Linked DNA regions of Anolis sagrei. The protein of the gene in region 2 interacts with the protein of the main gene of each other region in a biochemical or structural test. Links are inferred from orthologs where the notes say so. Each region holds a gene or a part of one and is shown on either strand. Other genes may lie near its edges.

Evidence for each region. The genes of interacting proteins can lie anywhere in the genome.
Region 1: the proteins of CLNS1A (region 2) and SNRPD3 form a complex in vitro, tested with the Homo sapiens proteins (2 studies listed by BioGRID). The link is inferred for Anolis sagrei from reciprocal best matches to the Homo sapiens genes CLNS1A and SNRPD3.
Region 3: the proteins of CLNS1A (region 2) and PRMT5 form a complex in vitro, tested with the Homo sapiens proteins (5 studies listed by BioGRID and IntAct, with this or other methods). The link is inferred for Anolis sagrei from reciprocal best matches to the Homo sapiens genes CLNS1A and PRMT5.

What each region holds. Positions count from the first base shown.
Region 1 is NC_090034.1:49,010,321-49,017,526, reverse strand, and holds the start of SNRPD3 (small nuclear ribonucleoprotein Sm D3), read left to right. Parts: upstream 1-4,182; 5' UTR 4,183-4,287; intron 4,288-5,086; 5' UTR 5,087-5,114; coding exon 5,115-5,240; intron 5,241-7,206. Other genes in the region: protein GUCD1, read right to left, coding at 1-128, 768-852, 3,383-3,470. UniProt on the Homo sapiens protein: Plays a role in pre-mRNA splicing as a core component of the spliceosomal U1, U2, U4 and U5 small nuclear ribonucleoproteins (snRNPs), the building blocks of the spliceosome.
Region 2 is NC_090023.1:9,832,563-9,840,466, reverse strand, and holds the start of CLNS1A (methylosome subunit pICln), read left to right. Parts: upstream 1-4,881; 5' UTR 4,882-4,967; coding exon 4,968-5,086; intron 5,087-7,904. UniProt on the Homo sapiens protein: Involved in both the assembly of spliceosomal snRNPs and the methylation of Sm proteins.
Region 3 is NC_090026.1:9,495,234-9,502,888, reverse strand, and holds the start of PRMT5 (protein arginine N-methyltransferase 5), read right to left. Parts: upstream 3,025-7,655; 5' UTR 2,987-3,024; coding exon 2,859-2,986; intron 1-2,858. UniProt on the Homo sapiens protein: Arginine methyltransferase that can both catalyze the formation of omega-N monomethylarginine (MMA) and symmetrical dimethylarginine (sDMA), with a preference for the formation of MMA.

The DNA.
Region 1 (7,206 bases), on a different chromosome or scaffold from region 2:
TGCAGAAGCGGTGCCGGACCCCAAAGTGGCGCATGAGGTAAGCCAGGTCGATGGTCCAGATGCTCTTGGTCAAACCAAGCTCCTGGACAGCCCTCTGGAACTCGGCGTCATCAAGGAGGTTCAGGTACCTGCCAGGAAGAAGTTGTAAAATATTTTGGTGGCACTATTATATAGAATAATTAATATAATAAATATAACGTAACAATTATATAATTATTATAAATATTTATTATATTATAATGTAATTATTATATTATCATTATACTACAATTTTAATAATACTATTATTCCATTGTACTTTAATATAATAACTAAATCATTATATTATATTAGTTTGTAATTAATATAACTATTATATGATAATTTAATAATTATACTAGGTATAATAGTACTATTATATTATTGTTTTTATTATATTATTGTTGTAAGATTTATATTCTTTCATTATATTCTTTTTCTATTCTACTGTAATATATTTATATTGTTAATATAATGTACCAATTATATTATATTCTTTCATTATTCTATTCTATTAAATTACTATTATAATATAATTGTCATATTATTATATTGTTTAATTGGGATATTGTTGAATTTTATTTTAATTATATTATATTATTATTATAATATAAATGTATAATGTTATTTCAATGTATTATTATTCTATTAAAATTATACCATCATAAAATATAATACTTATATCCGTTCATCGTGTTATTTGCATATGTGTAATGAGGTCACAATTATGAGACGGCTGTCGCACTCACTTGAGGACCATCCTGGAGCAGGCCAGGCCGCAGTCCCAGTGATAGAGCTGCTGGAGGACTGGAACGTTCAGCTGCACTATTCCCACTGCAGTGCAATATCCGTGCGAAGCATGTCCCCGTCGTGTGAGGGAAAAGACACAAGGCGTTTATACTTCATGGGAACCACTCAGGACTACTGAGGAACAACTAAACTGCAGGAAGGGAGGTCCGTGCTAAAGGCGTTCGCAAGCGTGTGAAGGGCATTGCAGTTGTGCAAGGGGGTGTTACAATCATGCCAGGAACAGTGAGACCTTGCAGTTAGTAACCGCACTTGTGCAAGTGACAGTACACAAATGGATTGTACAGTCGTGTGAATGGCATTCCAGTTATTATGCTCGTGCAGCAGAGGTTACAGTTGTGTAAGGAACGTTACAATCGTGTGAGGCATTATATGATGGTGTGAAGGATGTTACGGCCATGAAGGGAACTTGACAATTGTGCAAAGGAGGTTACAACTGGGCAAAGAAGGGAGGTTACAATTGTGTGAGAGGTGTAACAGTGCAAGTGACATTGTACCAATGCAAGGGGCACTATAATAGTGTGACAGGCATTAAGTTCACGCAAGAGGTGTTATAATAGTGTGAGGAGGGATCATGATCCAGTATAGCAACAGTGCAAGGGGGGCATAACAGTGCGAGGGGCATCATGATTCAATGTGAGAATCACACTAGTGCAGGAGGCATAATAATATTGCAAGGGGCATTATGATCCAGTGCAAGAAGCATCACAATAATGCAAGGGGGTGTGATAATAGTGCAAGGGGGTATCACGATCCAGTGAAAAGCATTGCGACAGCACGAGGGGCGTAATAATAGTGCAAGGGTGGGAATTATGATCAGGCGCAAGAAGAATTGCAAGCAGGTGTAATAATAGTGCGAGTGGGACACAATAGGCCGGTTGTTAGCCGCCCTGAGTCCCTCTGTGGAGGTTGAGATAGGACGGGATACAAATGTCCGAAATATATAAATTATTTATTTATTTATTTATTTGGTAGTTTTGTATACCGGTCTTCTCACCTCCATTCGAGGGACTCGGGCCGGTTTCCAACATCAATATTACAGACCGTCATCAAAACATCATATTTCTAAATCACACTAAAACATTAAAACATTGAAACAATTAAAATAGCAAAAATACAATCGTATGATTACACTGGTCAGTCGTCATCAAAGTCATTATTCGTCGTCATCCATCCATATCACAGGATCATGGCTCATTCGCTGAATGCCAGTCCCCAAAGCCAGGTTTTCACCTGTTTCCTGAACGTTAAGATCGAAGGGGCAGTTCTGATCTCCAGTGGAAGGGAGTTCCAGAGTCGAGGGGCCACCACCGAGAAGGCCCTGTCTCTCGTCCCCACCAGCCGCGCCTGTGAGGCCGGTGGGATCGAGAGCAGGGCCCCTCCAGACGATCTTAGTAATCTTGATGGCTCATAGGGGAGGATACGTTCGGACAGGTAAATTGGGCCGGAATAAAATAAAATAATAGTGTGAGGGGCATCATGAGCCAGTGTGAGAAGCACTGCAAAAGGGCGAGGGGTGCAATAATAGCGTGAGGGGCCCCTCACAATCAAGTGTGAAAAGCATCGCAACAGTGTGAGGGGGCATATTAAACGGTGCAAGAGACATCATGTTCCAGTGTGAGAATCGCAATAGTACAAGGGGTGTAATAACAGTGCGAGGGGCATTACGATCCAGTGTAAAAAGCATCGCAATAATGTGAAGGGGCATAATAATAATGTGTGGAGGCGCAATGATCCAGTGTGAGTGGCATCGCAGTAGTGTAAGGTAAGGTAAAGGTAGTCGGCCTATGAGCCCACGAGGACTTTGAGATCTTCCGGGGAGGCCCTGCTATCGATCCCGCCTGCGTCACAGGCACGGCTGGCGGGGACGAGAGATAGGGCCTTCTCGGTGGTGGCTCCTCGGCTGTGGAACACCCTTCCCGTAGACATCAGGCTAGCCCCCTCCCTGTTGATTTTCCGCAGGAAGCTGAAGACCTGGCTGTTTAAGAAGGCATTTGAATAGAAGTGCAATGACTGGTAACTTGACCATGGAATGGAACAATAGAAATGGTATTGGATTGTGAACTTGACGATGAGACGACTCGGAATGACTTTGTAATAATGTTGATGTTTTTGATGAGATGTTTTGCTAATGATGTACTGCGGATTATTTGTCACTATGTCTTGTATTTTGCACCTGTTTTTCTATGTTGTACACCGCAATGAGTCGCCATTAGGCTGAGAATTGCGGCATATAAGCGTAGTAAATAAATAAATAAATAAATAGTCCCCTGACATTAAGTCCAGTCATGTCTGACTCTGGTGTAGTGTAGTGTAAGCGCGTGTAATAATAATGCAAATGGGACACAAAGTGCAAGGGAAAATTACGATTCAGTGTGATAAGAGTGCAAAGGGGCATAATAATAGTGTGAAGGAGCACTATGGCGGTGCCAGAAGCAGCATGAGGGGTATGCTAACACTCCCTGCTCCTACTCAGAGACCCTTCCTGTCTTTGCCCCCCCTCCCTTTGCCCTCAGTGACCGTGCCCTCTGCGCATGCTCAGGGGCTCACCACCGACCTGAGGGCGGGGTCTGGGCCTCTTCTTCTTCCTCCTCTTCTTCTTCCTCCTCTTCTTCTTCCTCCTCCTCTTCTCTGGGGCTCTTCATGGCTCTCTGAAGGCAGGCAGGCAGGAAGGGAAGCCTCCCTTCCTCGCTTCCTGCCGGGCTCCGCCCCTGGCCACGCCCCTGGCCACGCCCCTTGCGGCTCACTTCAGGCCTGAAGAGGTGAGGAAGGCCCCGGCTCCGCCCTTTGTCCCCAAGCCCCGCCCCTTGCCTTTGTGGCCCTGGCTCCGCCCCTTGCATTTAAGACCAAGGCCGTAGCTCCGCCTCTATCACTAAGCCTCGCCCCTTGCGTCTAAAGCCAGAGGATTGGAAGGCCTTGGCCCCGCCCTCTCTCATCAAGCCCCGCCCCTTGAGACCAAGAGAAGGAAGGCCCTAACCTCGCCCCCTTTCCCGAAGCCACGCCCCTTCCGAAAAAGGCCTTGCCCCGCCCACTATCCGATAAGCCACGTCCCTGGCGTTGTTTTGAGTCCTACGGAGCATGCGCATGTCTTGACCACCTTCACTCCAATGGAAATACCATCTCAAGACGCACGATATTGGAATCCGTTCGTTTATGAGGCAAACACAAAGCGGAACTGTAGTCGCCGCCCTTGGGTCTCCCCGCCGGAGCCCAAAAAGGACCGCACCGCTCGTAACCATAGAGTCCCGTAGCTTTCTATTGGAGAGGTGGAAAGGATAGAACGTCATGACTTCCGGTATTAACCGGAAGCCGTTGCTAAAAGTTCCGCACGGAAATCTATGGTTTAAAAAAAGAGCGCGGGGTGGCGGTGGAGCGGACGACACTTCCGCTTCCTCCTCTTCCGCTTTGCATGCTGGGAGGCCGGGCTTTGATCGAATTCACGCTGTAGCGACATCCGAAATCGTACGAGAGAAGGCTTGTTCTTTATTATTGAAGATTATCATATAAAATAGCATAAGAAAGTGTAATAATCTAGAATATATTATATATATATATTAACTTACTATAAAATAAGGTAGTATAACGATAGATGATCGAATATATAATATAGTATGTATATAGTAACATAATATAAAATAAGAGAGTATCATAATCTAGAATGTAATAGAATCTAATACATAATCTATAATATACTATATAATAACCTAATATAAAATAAGACAATGTAATAGCATATCGTATATTACATTTTCTTTTGATTTTATTACAATTATTATTGTATTTTCTTATATATGATGTTATATTGCATTATTATATTTTCTTTTGATTATATTATTATGAGTTCTACGTTATTACATTTTGGACTTTATTGTGATTATATAGTATATTATATTGCTATATTATATTATATTATAATAATTATGATATTTTCCTTGATTATATTATTTTATTGTTTTGTTCTTTTTGTCGTGTCAGGAGTGACTTGAGAAACTGCAAGTCGCTTCTGGTGTGAGAGAATTGGCCGTCTGCAAGGACGTTGCCCAGGGGATGCCCGGATGATTTGATGTTTTTATCATCCTTGTGGGAGGCTTCTCTCATGTCCTCATGTATGAGGAGCTGGAGCTGATAAAGGGAGCTCATCCGCCTCTCCCCGGATTCGAACCTGCGACCTGTCAGGGTTTAACCTACTGCACCACCGGGGGCTCCTTGTTGGGGCCCCTGTGAGCTCACTTCCTGTCCCTCCCTTTTCTCTCCTGGCCAGCTGTCCATCACCCACTTCCATCCTTATCATGTCGATCGGGGTCCCCATCAAGGTCCTCCATGAGGCTGAGGGACACATTGTCACTTGCGAGACAAACACCGGGGAGGTCTACCGCGGGAAGCTCATTGAGGCCGAGGACAACATGAACTGCCAGGTATCAATGGCTTATTGATTAATTTATTATTATTATTAATATATTGTTATCTGTACTGTCAAAGGCTTAATAATAACATTGTTATCTGCATTGTCGAATAATATATTATCGTTATTATATTTATTGTTGTTATAATAAGAAGAAGAATCTTTATTTCTATCCTACCCTATCTCCCCAATGGGGACTCAGAGCGCTTCTCAAGATACATGGAGCAGCAACCATTCAATGCTGTAAAGGGCGACCGACAGTAAAGACGACAACCAGTAGTTAAATAATACACCTTCATCACATAATCATGGAATATTACAAATAATTAAATGACACTACAAATCCATTTTAACTGGACTTATTTTAATTAGATTAATAAAAATTAAAAACATTAACATTTAAAGGAGAGAAACCAGAAGATTACATTATATATTACATTCTATTAAAATTATCCGAAGTGGACAAGAATAGCACAGGATCATATATGTGGACAGAGAAAGGCATAAAAGAATATTAAATATATATATGCTTACTACTAATAATAATATCCAGATGTAAGCTTATTATATTTGTTGTTGTTGTTGTTATATTTATTGTTGTAATTGTAATTATAGTAATAAACTTTATTTGTATCCCTCCCTATCTCCCCAATGGGGAAACATTCAGTGCTGTAAGGTGCAACCAACAAATCAAAAAACTACCATGAATTAAATAATAACACATTACACATCAGGTATTAATAACAATGTCTTTGCTATTAATTTTGTTATTAACCGTGGTAGCACAGTGGTTAAAGCTGCTAGCTGCAGGAAAGGCTGTTAACCGGAGAGTCAACTGTTTGAAGCCACGAGTCAGGGTAAGCTCCCAACTGCTCTAGCTCCTGCCTACCTAGCAGTTTGAAAGAATGCAAGGCAAGTAGATCAGTAGGTACCGCCTCAGTGGGAAGGGAAAAGGGCACCCCATGCAGATAAACAGACATGCCGGCAATACAATTAGAGAAGTCTATGGAAAACAGGCTCCTCAGCATGGAAAATGGAACAAGATCACCTTCAGTTGAGTATCACCTCCAGATGCCGGAGATGGGAAAAGGCGGAAGCCCTTGACCTTTGTCTTATATGTCTTTGTTCACTGTGTGTGTAAAAAGGCATTGAATGTTTGCCTCATATCAGTATTGTAATCCGTTCTGAGTCCCTCCGGGGAGATAAAGTGGAATATAAAGATTATTATTATTATTATCAGGTAATAATCATGTTACATTTATTGTATTTATTATTGTTATAATTATATTGTTGTTACAGTATTATTATTATTCTATATTATTATTTTCAGGCAATAATGATGTATTTAGTATTATACTTATTGTTATATAGTATTATAGTGTAGTTATTATATATTATTATTTTCAGGCCATCATAATGATGTATTTATTAGATTATTTTCTATTTATTAATAATAGTAATAAAACTATTACTACTTTTGCTACTCATGGTGGTTTCCAATAATAATATTTATTATTATATTATTGTGATATTTCTATATTATTATTTTCAGCTAAAATAATGATGTCATTATTATATTTATTATTATTATATTATGGCTATTGTATATTGTTATTTTCAGGCAATAATAATGATGTATTTATTAATATATTTCTTATTGTTATATTTCTTCTTATTGAATGATTGATTTTTTTAATGAAAAATCAAACCGTACAATTCACCATTCTGGACAAGGTGGCAGGAAAGGTATAACAAATGAATAGACAATGACTCCACTAAGGCTGAAAAATCCACTAATTTGAAGACTACTGTGAAGTTATTGCATGAATTACAATGAAGTTTTTACCGGGAGCAAGAGTTAAGGCTATTTTGCTTTCTTTCTAATCAGTACAAGGAAACTGTTGCCTTTTATCATTACAAACAGTGATACTAAGATTTGTTAATATTTTAAAACACATTTTCTTAAAAAATATGTATGA
Region 2 (7,904 bases):
AGCGAACCTCACATGCGGAGGGTGAGTTGATAGTCTTAAACATTTTTAAAGCACAGAACAGAACCGTACAGGTTAGCTACAGAGCGGAAACTGAGCACAGTTGTTCCCGAGGCATGCTGGAACATGACACACGCGCTCGTTGCGGTATGTGCGCGAACTACTCGTGTCTACAACAAAACGGACCTTACTTAAAAAATACCCCTTGTAGTTAGATCCTGTTTTCTCTTCCCACTGCCTAAAATACTTCAGTACCCCCAAGTTTGGAAAGATAAGCATTCCCTATATATTATGCAATCGCATCGATCTAGTGACACACAAATGCGTGTTTTAAAGGAAACATCTTCCAGAAAATGTCTTTTTTGAAGTATGATTTTCTTTCTTCCCTTTCATTCTATTCTTTTCCCTTTTTTCTCTTTCCTTAATACAGGTTGAGCATCCTTTAGTCAAAAGGCTTGGGACCAGAAGTGTTTGGGATTTTGAAAGTTTTTTTTTACCTGTACCATACTTACATAATTATATAAAATTAGCTTATATTTCCTGGACATGTACACCATAGGTAGTGTGTGTGTGTGTATGTGTGTGTGTGTGTGTGTGTGTGTGTGTGTGTGTATATATATATATATATATATATATGCTGGGTTGTTGTAGGTTTTTTCGGGCTATATGGCCATGGTCTAGAGGCATTCTCTCCTGACATTTCGCCTGCATCTATGGCAAGCATCCTCAGAGGTAGTAAGGATGCTTGTCATAGATGCAGGCAAAACGTCAGGAGAGAATGCCTCTAGACCATGGCCATATAGCCTGAAAAAACCTACAACAACCCAATGATTCCGGCCATGAAAGCCTTCGACTATATATATATATGCAGTTTTTGGGATGTTGTTAGGACCGCTGCCTGCCTTCTCCAGCTCTGCGGGGGCCTACCTCACAGTGACAACTCTTTTTGTGCAGGTCCTTTTTGTGGTTCACTCTTTGCTTCCTCAGTTTCCCTCATACACCTTCTCCCTTTCCCTTATTCTTCCTTTCCTTTCTTATTTCTTCCTTTCCTTCTTCCCTTGTTTTTCTTCACACATCTGTTTCCCTTTCCTTCATTTCCTTTCCTTTCTCTTTTTCTTCCTTCCCTTTTTCCATTTATTGTTCCCTTCTCTTGTCTTTCCTTCCTTTTCTTCTTCCCTTGTTTTCATTCACACATCTGCCCCTCTTCTTTTTCATTCTTCCCTCCCTTCTTCCATTCTTCCCTTCCTTTCTTGTTTATTCCTTTCTTTCTTCCCTTGTTATATTATTTATTTTGAACATTTCTACTCTGCCCTTCTCAACCCCTGGGGGGACTCAGGGCGGCTTACAATTGGCAACAATTCAATGCCACAACATAAAATACAGAATAACAAATATAACAATTATACATGAACATTAATAAAGATTAAAACAGTATACTTAGATTCTGATTAGCTATTGCCCGTCTGGTGGCCGTTTAGCTAGCCATCTACTAATGATTACTCCACTTATCCAAATCCTCTTCCATGCCATAGTCAACATTATCAATTGTCCTTTAATCTGATTGCCCAAAGGCCTGGTCCCACAGCCACGTTTTAACCTTTTTTCTAAAGGTGAGGAGGGATGACCTAATTTCCCCGGGGAGCAAATTCCACAGGTGGAGGGCCACCACTGAGAAGGCCCTGTCCCTCGTCCCCACCAAGCGTGTTTGAGACAAAGGCAGGGTCGAGAGCAGGGCCTCCCCAGACGATCTTAAGTTCAGAGGTGGCACGTAGAAGGAGATACGTTCGGACACCTATCCCCTTTCTTTTCCTTTCTTCCCTCCCTTTCTCTTCCCTTGTCTTTCCTTTATTTCTTTCCTTCTTCCCTTGTTTTCCTTCACACATCTGTCTCCCTTTCTTTACCTTACCTTTCGCTTCTTTTTCTTCCTTCCTTTTCATCCTTTTTCCTTTCCTTTCCAATTTCTTTCATTCTTCCCTTGTTTTCTTTCACACATGTGTCCCTTTTTCCTCCTTCTCCTTTTCCTTTTCTCTATTTCTTTCTTCCCTCCCTTCATCCCTTCCGGTCTTCAATCCTTTCCTTTCCCTCTTTTTTTCCTTCACATACCTGTCCCCCTTTTTTCTCATTTCTTCCTTCCCCTTCTTTTCCTTTTCTTTTTTCTTCGCTCCTTTCTTTCATCCCTTCTTTTCTCCTCCCTTTTGTCTTTTTTTTCTTCCTTCCCTTTATACCCCTTTCCCTTTTCATTCTTTCTTTCCTCCCTTCATCTTATACGTGTCACCTTTCTTTCCTAGTGACATCACAGAGGGCCACTTCACCTAGCAACAACCAATCCACTTTGTTCCTTGTCTTTCCCGCTGCTCTGAAAGGGCCTTTTTCCCCCCCAAACCCCTCAATTATTTTAAGTTGGATAATGAAGGTGTCACATTTGGTCCAGATCCATCAAGCCATGGAGGAGGCTTTGTGGTACAAACCAACATAAATATATACAAACTCTGACTTTTATAGATTTAAATAATACTTTTCTGCATGAAACACAGTTTGTCTACATTGAACCATCAGACAGCAAAAGGCGCTACTATCACAGTCAACCATGTGGACAATTTTGAATTTCAGAGTATTTAATAGTTCCGGATAAAGGTTACTCAACCTTTATCTCCTTAGGTGCCTTAATGCTTAGTCCACATTCAGGTCTGAAGTAGTTCCCTCTCTTTTCTCATTTTCTTCTATTTTTTGCTCTGTAATTGTACTTCTAAAAAAGAAATCAAAGACTTGAGCAAAGAGCAATGTAAGGATACTCAATGTGGATAATCAATTGTAAAGGTGCCGTGTACTTGCAAGAACTAACAAGCACTATTATCATCCGTTTCGGATCAAGTTTGAGCAGTTCCAAGGTATTGTGACCTTTCATTGATGGTTTGTGGGTTATATAAATTATTATTATTATTATTATTATTATTATTATTATAGTTCTTTCCTGCACTGCCTCTGAGGATGCTTGCCATAGATGCAGGCGAAACGTCAGGAGAAATGCCTCTAGAACATGGCTCTATAGCCCAAAAAAACCCACAAGAACCTAATGTGTTTACTATTCTTATGCTGGACAAAATAATACTATATTATTATATTTTATAATTACAATTTTATATATTATTATTAGAATCAAAGGGTTGGAAGAGACCATCCAGTTCCCTACTGTATACAGAGAAAAGAACAAAAATGTTTACTATTATGTTGGACAAAATAATACTATACTATTATCTTTATATTTAATAATGTATTATATTTTGTAATTTATTTGATATTATAATAATTATTAATTCTATTATTATTATCATCATTATCATTATTATTATTACAGTTCCTTCCTGCAGGGAAAAGAAACAATATAAAAACTACAAAACATTAATACAGTTCGCTACTGTATACAGAGAAAAGAACAAAAATGTTTATTATGTTGGACAAAATAATACTATTTAAAATAATACTATTATTATAATATTTTATAATTACAATTTTATAATATATTATATTTTGTAATATATTATACTTTGTAATTTATTTTATATTATTATATTTATTATTATTATTATTATTACAGTTCCCTCCTGCAGAGAAAAGAACAAAAATGTTTACTATTATGTTGGACAAAATAATACTATACTATTATCTTTATGTTTTATACTTATAATTTTATAATGTATTATATTTTGTAATACATTATATTTTATAATTTATTTAATATAACTTTATTATTATTATTATTATTATTATTACTACAGTTCCCTACTGCTGAGAAAAGAACAAAAATGTTTACTATTATGTTGGACAAAATAATACTGTACTATTATTATTATTATATTTTATAATTACAATTTTATAATGTATTATATTTTGTAATTTATTTGATATTAATATATTTGATATTATTATTATTATTATTACAGTTCCTTCCTGCAGGAAAAAGAAACAAAAATGATTACTATTCTTTTGCTGGATAAATTATTATTATTATTATTATTATTTACTATATATATATATATATATATATATATATATATATATATATAATGTAAATAATAATAATAGTAATAATAATAGTTTATCTAGTATAAGAGTAGTAAACATAATAATTATATATATATATTCTCACTTTCTCTATATATATAAATTACTATTACTATTATTATTTACAATATATATACATAATGTAAATAATAGTAATAATAGTAATAATAATTTATCTAGTATAAGAATAGTAAACATAATAATTATTATATATATATATATTCTCTTTCTATATATAAATTATTATTACTATTATTATTTACTATATATATATATAATGTAAATAATAATAATTTATCTACTGTAAGAATAGTAAACATAGTAATTATTATAATATATATATATTCTCTCTCTCTCTACTATGATTATTTATTTTATATCATTATTATTATTATTATTATTATTATTATTATTATTATTAAGAGACAAGCCTTATTGAGAAAGGCCTTAGCTCAGGCCTAGGCCAACTTGGGCCCTCTGTGTGTTTTGGACTTCAACTCCCACAATTCCTAACAGCCTAATAGGCTGTTAGGAATTGTGGGAGTTGAAGTCCAAAACACACAGAGGGCCCAAGTTGGCCTAGGCCCGTCTCGTTTTAGACTAACATCCAACATGGCCGCCTTTCATTCCCCGCTTTAGATACTCCCGAACTCCGACTCCCAGAATCCCACTGCCTTAGTCGTTATGGCAAGGGCTTCTGGGAGACGAAGTCCGGAACTCTCAGTGGATTATGACGTCACGGCGTTGTGGCGAAGGAGAGAAAGGGAGAGACGCAGAAAGGTCTTTGTCGCGTGAGGCGGAAGCGGAAAGAGGTGACAGCGCGCTGCTTCCGGTTCCTCGCGTTTCCGTTTTGTGCCGGAGCGGAGGGGACGCGGCCTAGCTGTTTCCTCCCCTCCTTTCAGGCAGCCATGAGTTTCCTGAAACGCCTCCCGGAGCCGAGCGAAGGCGTCCGGCTGAGGCAGGCCGAGACCGAAGCCGTGCTGGGAGGGCGACGCCTGGGCAGCGGGACCCTCTTCGTGGCCGAGAGGTGAGTCGCCGAGTTTGGGTAGGCCTCACCTCGAATCATAGAATCCTAGAGTTGGAAGAGACCTCATGGGCCATCCAGTCCAACCCCATTCTGCCAAGAAGCAGGAATATTGCATTCAAATCACCCCTGACAGATGGCCATCCAGCCTCTGCTTAAAAGCTTCCAAAGAAGGAGCCTCCACCACACTCCGGGGCAGAGAGTTCCACTGCTGAACGGCTCTCACAGTCAGGAAGTTCTTCCTCATGTTCAGATGGAATCTCCTCTCTTGCAGTTTGAAGTCATTGTTCTGCATCCTAGTCGCTCTCTTGTAGAATCATAGAATCCTAGAGTTGGAAGAGACCTCATGGGCCATCCAGTCCAACCCCATTCTGCCAAGAAGCAGGAATATTGCATTCAAAGCACCCCTGACAGATGGCCATCCAGGAGAGAAGCATTCCCTCCTGACGTTTCGCCCACATCTATGGCAAGCATCCTCGGAGGTTGTGAGATGCGTTGGAAACTAGACAACTGAGGTTTATATATCATGTTTAACAAGTTAAACATGAGCCAACAATGTGATGTAGCGGCAAAAAAAGCCAATGGGATTTTGGCCTGCATCAATAGGAGCATAGTGTCTAGATCTAGGGGAGTAATGCTACCCCTCTATTCTGCTTTGGTTAGACCACACCTGGAATACTGTGTCCAATTCTGGGCACCACAACTCAAGAGAGATATTGACAAGCTGGAATGTGTCCAGAGGAGGGCGACTAAAATGATCAATGGTCTGGAGAACAAGCCCTATGAGGAGCGGCTTAAGGAGCTGGGCATGTTTAGCCTGAAGAAGAGAAGGCTGAGAGGAGATATGATAGCCATGTATAAATATGTGAGAGGAAGCCACAGGGAGGAGGGAGCAAGCTTGTTTTCTGCTTCCTTGGAGACTAGGACACAATGGAGCTATGGCTTCAAACTACAAGAAAGGAGATTCCATCTGAACATTAGGAAGAACTTAATAGAATCATAGAATCTTCCTGACTGTGAGAGCCCCAGAGACCTTCTTTGGAGGCTTTTAAGCAGAGGCTGAATGGTCATCTGTCGGGGGTGCTTTGAATGCAATTTTCTATCCAGTCCAACCCCATTCTGCTAAGAAGCAGGAAAATGGCATTCAAAGCACTCCCAACAGATGACCATTCAGCATCTGCTTAAAAGCCTCCAAAAAAGGAGCCTCCACCACACTCCAGGGGAGAGAGTTTCATGGCTGAACTGCTCACACAGTTAGGAAGTTCTTCCTCATGTTCAGGTGGAATCTCCTTTCCTGTAGTTTGAAGCCATTGGGTTGTTGTAGGTTTTTTGGGACTATATGGCCATGTTCTAGAAGCATTCTCTCCTGACGTTTTGCCTGCATCTATGGCAAGCATTCTGAAAGACCTCACAACCTCTGAGGATGCGTGCCATAGATGCAGGTGAAACGTCAGGAGAGAATGCCTCTATACCTAATGATTCCAGCCATTAAAACCTTCTACAATACTTTGAAGCCATTGTTCCATCGCATCCTAGTCTTCAGGGCAGCAGAAAACAAGCTTGCTTCCTCCTCCCAATGACTTCCCTCACATCTTGATACATGGCCCTCAAGTGATTGTAGTCCAGAAACAGTATTTTTTCCTTGGCTTTGTTGACAAAAGGACTTCCCATTCAGATATTATGTAAAACAAAATATCAGTACTCAAAATACCCAGTGGCGATGGATAGGTGAAGGAGCCGGGCTGTTCAAGAGAATCAAGTCCTTCTGGCATTCTTATCAGTATGCAGAGATGCTAGAACATCACTGCATGTATGTCAGCAGAATTTAGCTCTGTAATTTCAGTAACTGGAATGCAGGTATACCTCAGTTCACAAATCCTTTGAGAAAGTAGCTTCTTTTACAAAGCTTTTTTTATACCTGCCAAGCCCCACAGTCCCCCTTTCTCTCTGTCTGACTATTTTTTTTTAGTAGTAACTGCATTGGCAGGATGGTGAAGGAGTGCCGGAGTAACAAGAATTTATTTTTTATTTATTTATTTCCTGTCCTTGTATACCGCCGTTTCTCAGCCTAACTGGCGACTCAACACGGTTTACAACAAAATATACAGTGCACAGTATACAATTAAAACCATAAAAACATAATACACAATATTACACGTAAATCACAATCCAATACATCTCCTAACTAAAATCCTGGTCCAATTTCATCATCCATATTACCAATCCGTAATCAACACATTCATTGCACCGAATTAACCAAATGCCTGCTTGAATTTGGTGTTACGTTGCAGAAGCATATTTTGTAATAAACAATAAATAAAATCTATATAAATAAAAATGTAATGTTCGTTTAACATAACTCAAAAACCACTGGATGAATTGACACTAAATTTGGACACAAGACACCTATCAGGCCAACGAGTGACCATCACTCATAAAAACACTGACAAACACAGCAGAAGAGACTTAAAAGGTCAAAAAAGCAAAAAACGCTACAGCACATGCGCAAAAACTACTCTCCTGGCAAACAAAACACACAATAGCATAACTACACTCTCTTCCGGACTACAGCTCCCAGCATCCCCTAGACAAGGCCCTTTAGGAGAGGAGGATGATCCAAATGCACCGCTTCTATGCTGCAAGCTTTCTTCTCCTTGGAAATCTTTGAGCGCATCCCAAAACCTGCATATCTCCAGTTTCCTATTCCTGGACTGCAATTTCCAGCAATCCTCCAGTTAGATAGATTAGATAGAGATAGGTAGATAGATGGATGGATCAGGACTACTGGGAGTTGCAGTCCAAGAATAGGTAGAGAAGGAAG
Region 3 (7,655 bases), on a different chromosome or scaffold from region 2:
AAGAAGGAGCCTCCACCACACTCGGGGGCAGAGAGTTCCACTGCTGAACGGCTCTCATGTTCAGATGGAATCTCCTCTCTTGTAGTTTGAAGCCATTGTTTTGTATCCTAGTCTCCAGGGAAGCAGAAAACAAGCTTGCTCCCTCCTCCCTGTGGCTTCCTCTCACATATTTATACATGGCTATCATATCCCCTCTCAGCCTTCTCTTCTTCAGACTAAACATGCTCAGCTCGTTAAGCCACTCCTCATAGGGCTTGTTCTCCAGACCCTTGATCCTTTTAATCGCCCTCCTCTGGCTTGTCAATATCTCTCTTGAATTGTGGTGCCCAGAATTGGACACAATATTCCAGGTGTGGTCTAACCAAAGCTGAATAGAGGGGTAGCATTACTTCCCTAGATCTATACACTAGGCTCCTCTTGATGCAGGCCAAAATCCCATCGGCTTTTTTTTGCTGCCACATCACATTGTTGGCCCATGTTTAACTTGTTGTCCACAAGGACTCCAAGATCTTTTTCGCACTGCTCTCGAGCCAGGCATTGTCACCCATTCTGTATCCTTGCATTTCATTTTTTTCTGCCTAAGTGGAGTATCTTGCATTTGTCACTGTTGAGCTTAGTTTTAGCCCATCTCTCTCATCTGTTCAGATCGTTTTGAATCCTGCTGCTGTCCTCTGGAGTATTGGCTATCCCTCCCAATTTGGTGTCGTCTGCCAACTTGATGATCCTGCCTTCTAACCCTTCCTCTAAAACATTAATAAAGATGTTGAACAGGACCATACTCAGGACGGAACCCTGCTTATATGGCACTCCCGAGGAAATACTGGGGAGCAGCCATTGGGTTCGTTCCCTTAACCAATTACAGATCCACCTAACCATAGTTTTGTCTAGCCCACATTTGACTAGTATGTTTGCCAGAAGGAAATGGGAGAACTTTTTGAAGGCCTTACTGAAATCCAGTTACGCTACATCCATGGCATTCCCTGCATCTACCCAGCTTGTAACTCTCTCAAAAAAAGAGATAAGATTAGTCTGACATGAATTATTTTTGATAAATCCATGTTGACGATCAACAAAGTGGAATAATAATCTTTTCATTCTTTTCAACGTGTTGCCTTAGAAGAACTTTGGTGGGGCCAAGGGCAAGGACCCAGCCAGGAAGACAAACACAAAAGTCCCCTCCCTCAGTGATTTCATCCTCTGATGAAGAGGACCTGTTGGAAGGGGCACTGTAAGCACTAGCAGCACATGATCATCAAGTTTGATCATCAAGCATGATCATCAAGTTTGCAGACGACACCAAATTGGGAGGGATAGCCAATAGTCCAGAGGACAGGAGCAGGATTCAAAGGGATCTTGACAGATTAGAGAGATGGGCCAAAACTAACAAAATGAAGTTCAACAGTGACAAATGCAAGATACTCCACTTTGGCAGAAAAAATGAAATGCAAAGATACAGAATGGGTGACGCCTGGCTCGAGAGCAGTACGTGTGAAAAAGATCTTGGAGTCCTCGTGGACAACAAGTTAAACATGAGCCAACAATGTCATGGGGCGGCAAAAAAAGCCAATGGGATTTTGGCCTGCATCAATAGGAGCATAGTGTCTAGATCTAAGGAAGTAATGCTACCCCTCTATTCTGCTTTGGTTAGACCACATCTGGAATATTGTGTCCAATTCTGGGCACCACAATTCAAGAGAGATATTGACAAGCTGGAATGGGTCCAGAGGAGGGCAACTAAAATGATCAAGGGTCTGGAGAACAAGCCCTATGAGGAGCGGCTTAGGGAACTGGGCATGTTTAGCCTGAAGAAGAGAAGGCTGAGAGGAGATATGATAGCCATGTATAAATATGTGAGAGGAAGCCACAGGGAGGAGGGAGCAAGCTTGTTTTCTGCTTCCTTGGAGACTAGGACGCGGAACAATGGCTTCAAACTACAAGAAAGGAGATTCCATCTGAACATGAGGAAGAACTTCCTGACTGTGAGAGCCGTTCAGCAGTGGAACTTTCTGCCCCGGAGTGTGGTGGAGGCTCCTTCTTTGGAAGCTTTTAAGCAGAGGCTGGATGGCCATTTGTCAGGGGTGATTTGAATGCAATATTCCTGCTTCTTGACAGAATGGGGTTGGACTGGATGGCCCATGAGGTCTCTTCCAACTCTTTGATTCTATGATTCTATGTGCACAGTTTAGAAGGTGTGCGGGAGGGCCTGTTCGCAGAGCACTTAATGCTTTTTTTCCAGAATCTTGCCTGGTATTGACGTGAAGCTGACAGGACAGTAATTGTTTGAGTCATCCTTTTGCCCTTCTTGAAGACAGATAGGGACCACATTTGCGCTCCTCCAATCTGCTGGGACATATCTGCGTGTGGACTCCGATAACAAAGCAGATATTGTGGGATTGTCTACCTTGATATTCTGGGATTATAGATCCACCTAGCCAATTACAGATCCTTTCTTTCCTCACCTCCTATCTTTTCCCCTTTTCTTTCTCTCTCTCTTTTCCTGTTTTCCTTCTTTTTTGCTTCCTTCCCTTCCCTTTACACACATGTCACTTAGCAGCAACCAAGCTACTTCACTCTTTTCCTTTCCCAGTGACATTATAGGGCTAGCAACAGATTGATAGATGATAGAGCAGGCCTGGGCCAACTTTGGGCCCTCTAGGAGTTTTGGACTCCAACTCCCATCATTCCTAACAGCCTCAGGCCCTTTTATTTTCTCCCTCAGCCGCTTAAGCGGCTGAGGGAGAAAATAAAAAGGCCTGAGGCTGTTAGGAATGATGGGAGTTGGAGTCCAAAACACCTGGAGGGCCCAAATTGGCCCAGGCCTGTTCTATAGTATGAAGCCACGTGGTTCTCCTCCTCACCCCTGCCGGGCGACCGCCCCCAGAGTGCTGGCCACTTCCGGGACGCAGTTGAGGTCTCTCCCGCAAGAGACGCGAGCCGCCGCCGAGCCGGGCCCGACCGAAGGCGCCGCCGCTGTGTTCGCCGCCATGTCCCGCCACACAGAGAAGCCAGAACCGTGAGCCCGCGCCCACTCTAGCACTTTAACCAATCCGCGGCCGTTTTACAGAAAGCAGCCAATCCAATGAGGCCTTTCAAAGCCAGAGTGGAGGGGGCGGAGTCAGCACCGGCCTAGCTAAACCAATCAAAATCCGAGCCGGAGTCAGTGACTGAGAGAGCATGAGGTAAAGGTTCTATTTCCCATCATGCACTCGGGAGGGGGAAAAAAGGCACATGACGGTGGAAGACTACACTTCCCAGGATGCATCGCGAAGCAGGCAACGCTATGGAATGCCTTATAAGGGAGGAGGTGGAATGCTCTGTTTGTGTCTGAGGGCCAGTGGCGCAATGGATAACGCGTCTGACTACGGATCAGAAGATTCTAGGTTCGACTCCTGGCTGGCTCGAAACAGACTTAACTTTTCTTCATTGGAAACTTTAGCAAGAGTAATTAAGATTCTGACCTTCTGATCTTCCAAACACATATTAACAGTTAAACTACAAGGAGGTTGAGTGCATTCTTAAAAGGGGGGTTACCACATTTACAATGTATTTCAAATGAATTTATTTCCAATTTTATTTATTTATTTACACTGAATTTATTTCCAATTTTATTTATTCATAATTTATTTACAATTTTATTTACTTATTTATTTACAAAATATTTACAATGAATTTATTTCCAATTTTATTTATTTATTTAAAATTTATTTACAATGAATCTATTTACAATTTTATTTATTTATTTATTTACAATGTGTTTAGAAAGAATTTATTTACAATTTTATTCATTTGTTTATTTACAATTTATATACAATAAATCTATTTATAATTTATTTATTTATTTATTTACAATTTTTGTATTTATTTATTTACAATTTACTTATTTACAATTTTATTTATTTATTTACAATTTATTTATTTATTTATTTACAATTTATTTACAATTAATTTATTTACAATTAATTTATTTACAATTTATTTATTTATTTACAATATATTTACAATGAATTTATTTACAATTTTATTTATTTATTTATTTACAATGAATTTATTTATAATTTTAGTTATTTACTTATTTACAATGCATTTATTTACAATTTTATTTATTTATTTACAATATATTTACAATTAATTTATTTACAATTTTATTTATTTATTTATTTAAAATTTATTTACAATTTTATTTATTTATTTATTTAAAACTTATTTACAATGAATTGAGAATGAAATTCTTGTTTATTCACATTTGGTAATACAGTTTATCCCTTATCTGAAATGCTTGGGATACAAAGTGTTTTGGATTTTGTTTTTTTACATATACAAGATAATAATAATAAGAAGAAGAAGAACTCAAGAATGGAAAATGGAACGTTGGTGAACAGGAAAAGAGATTTAAAGATGGGCTCAAAGCCAACCTTAAAAACTCTGGCATAGACACTGAGAACTGGGAAGCCCTGGCCCTTGAGCGCTCCAGCTGGAGGTCAGCTGTGACCAGCAGTGCTGCAGAATTCGAAGAAGCATGAATGGAGGTTGAAAGGGAGAAACGTGCCAAGAGGAAGGCGTGTCAACCCAACCCAGACCAGGACCGCCTTCCACCTGGAAACCAATGCCCTCACTGCGGGAGGAGATACAGATCAAGAAGAGGGCTCCACAGTCACCTACGGACCCACCTTGGAGGATTATCCTACTCGGACAGCGAGGGATGGCCTAAGTAAGTAAGTAAGAAGAAGAGTTCAAACTACTCTGGGACTTCCGAATTCAGACAGACAAGAGTTTTGGAACACAACACTCCATACCTCACGATCGTGTTAAGAAACAAAGTATGGATCATCAATGTAATCCTGGGTGATAGCAGGATTGAAGGGAAACAACTGGAAAAGTTGGAAAAGCTGACACGATATGAGGATTTAAAGATCGAACTGCAAAGAGTCTGGCACAAGCCAGTCAAGGGGGTCCCAGTGGTGATCGGCACACTGGGTGCAGTGCTTCAAGACCTTGGCCTGCACTTAAAAACAATCGCCACTGACAAAATAACCATCTGTCAGCTGCAAAAGGCCACCTTACTGGGATCTGCACACATTATTTCTATTTATTTAGGGCATTTATATCCCGTCCTATCTCATCTCCGCAGAGGGACTCAGGGAGGCTAACAACCGGCACAGCACAGTGCCCACAATAAGAAAAGCATAAATATACATAATATAATATAATAAAAACAGTTTAGTACCATTTAATATTTGTATTGTTGACTGGAATCACTGGGTTGTAGGTTTTTTCAGGTTATATGGCCATGTTCTAGAGGCATTCTCTCCTGACGTTTCGCCTGCATCTATGGCAAGCATCCTCAGAGGTTGTGAGGTTGGAACTAGGAAAATTGGGTTTATATATCTGTGGAATGACCAGGGTGGGACAAAGAACTCTTGTCTGCTGGAGCTAGGTGTGAATGTTTCAACTGACTGCCTTGATTAGCATTTGATGGCCTGAATCTGGAACTTCCAGATTCAGATTTGCAACCATAAAATTATTTTTGTTCCTACTTCATAACTGTAATTTTCCTACTATTATGAATTGTAATGTAAATATCTGATATGCAGGATATATTAATTAACTGGATGGAATTCGGCACAAATACCCGATAGGCCCAAATTTGAATACTGGTGAGGTTGGAGTGGGGATTGATTTTGTCAATTGGGAGTTGTAGCTGCTGGGATTTATAGTTAGCCTACAATCGAAGAGCATTCTGAACTCCACCAACAATGGAATTTAACCAAACTTGGCACATAGAACTCCCATGACCAACAGAAAATACAGAAAGGGTTCAGTGGCTTTGACCTTGAGTTTTGGATTTGTAGTTCACCTACATTCAGGGAGCACTGTGGACTCAAATAATGATCGATCGGACCAAACTTGGCACAAATACTCAATGTGCCCAAATGTGAACACTGGTGGAGTTTGGGAGGAAATAGACCTTGACATTTGGGAGTTGTAGTTGCTCGGGTTTATAGTTCCCCTACAATCAAAGAGCAGTGTGAACTCCACCAACAATAGAATTGTTGCCCAGCTTACCTGTCTGAACATATCTCCCTCTATGAATGTTCTGTTGCGTGCTGGACCTGTAAAGAATTTCCTTTTAGAACAGGACGTGCAACCTTTGCCCAGCGGGAAGCCAGGGGGCCCAAGGAGAAGTTCTCAGAGGTTTTCCACCACAAATGATCTTTAGATGGCTTGTGAAGTATAACAAAGTATTTTATTAATGAAGAATCAAACAGAAACTTCTCTTGTCTTCAATAAAGCTAAACAAATGATTCCAGACTTTAATGCAACTGGTAGCTTCCTAAACTTGCCCATGAAGGACAGGCAACTGCCTTCAATAACTTCTTCTTTACTTTAAAGGAAAATCCCCTTTTTAACTTCTCCCTGGCTGACTGTAATCTAACCCTTACTGATGTGGGCTCCGCTACCGGGTTGAACTGCTTCTCGAACGCCGAGTGAACCTACCAGTAAAGGTTTAGATGTTCTCCAGCTGGAGTTCTTTGGTCTTTAGGGCTGTTTCCCTGAAAATCTTTGGAGACTCTTAAGACTGTTCTCCCGGAAAGTCTTAAGGGTTGAAGCTTTTGTACAGGGGAAGCTTGCACACGTCCTGTACATTAGCTTTCCTTGCTGAGACTAACTAAAATTGGCTCCCTTCCCGATGATGGACAGGTGACTTGCCCTACGACTGCAACCAAAGAAAGCCACCTATCTGCAGAGTCCCTGCAACCTTGGACTGCAAGCAACATCTAATACAAAGTAAATACAGTTGGAGCTCCTGGTATAGCTGTACCAGCACAATGAACCATCTCAGAGATTAAGGTAATTTGGGGAGGCCCTGCTCTTGGTTCCACCTTCCTCGCAAGTGTGATTGGTGGGGACGAGAAACAGGGCCTTCTCAGTACTTACTTACTTATTTAGCGATCCCTCGTTGGACGAGTAAGATGGTCTTCCATTATGGGTTTTCCTGTGGGTCCGCGTGTGGCTGCGGCGCCCTATTCTTGCTCTGCATCTTCTTCCGCAGTGTGGACATTGGTTTCCAGGTGGAAGGCGGTCCCGGTCGGGGTTGGCTTGATGCGCCTTCCTCCTGGCACGTTTCTCTCTTTCACCCTCCACTCGTGCCTCCTCAAATTCTGCAGCACTGCTGGTCACAGCTGACCTCCAGCTGGAGCAGTCAAGGGCCAGGACTTCCCAGTTCTCAGTGTCTATGCCAGAGTTTTTAAGGGGCCATCTTTAAATCTCTTTTCCTGTCCTCTAACATTCCGTTTTCTGTTCTTAAGTTCAGAGTAGAGCAACTGCTTTGGGAGACGGTGGTCAGGCATCCGGACAACGTGTCCGGCCCAGCGGAGTTGATGTTGGAGGACCATCGCTTCAATGCTGGTGGTCTTTGCTTCTTCCAGCACGCTGACGTTTGTCCGCTTGTCTTCCCAGGAGATTTGCAGGATTTTCCGGAGGCAGCGCTGATGGAATCGTTCCAGGAGTTGCATGTGACGTCTGTAGACAGTCCACGTTTCACAGGCATATAGCAGGGTTGGGAGGACAATAGCTTTATAGAGAAGCACCTTGGTCTCCCTACGGATGCCTTCTCAGTGGTGGGTCTTTGACTATGGAACCCCCACCAACAATAG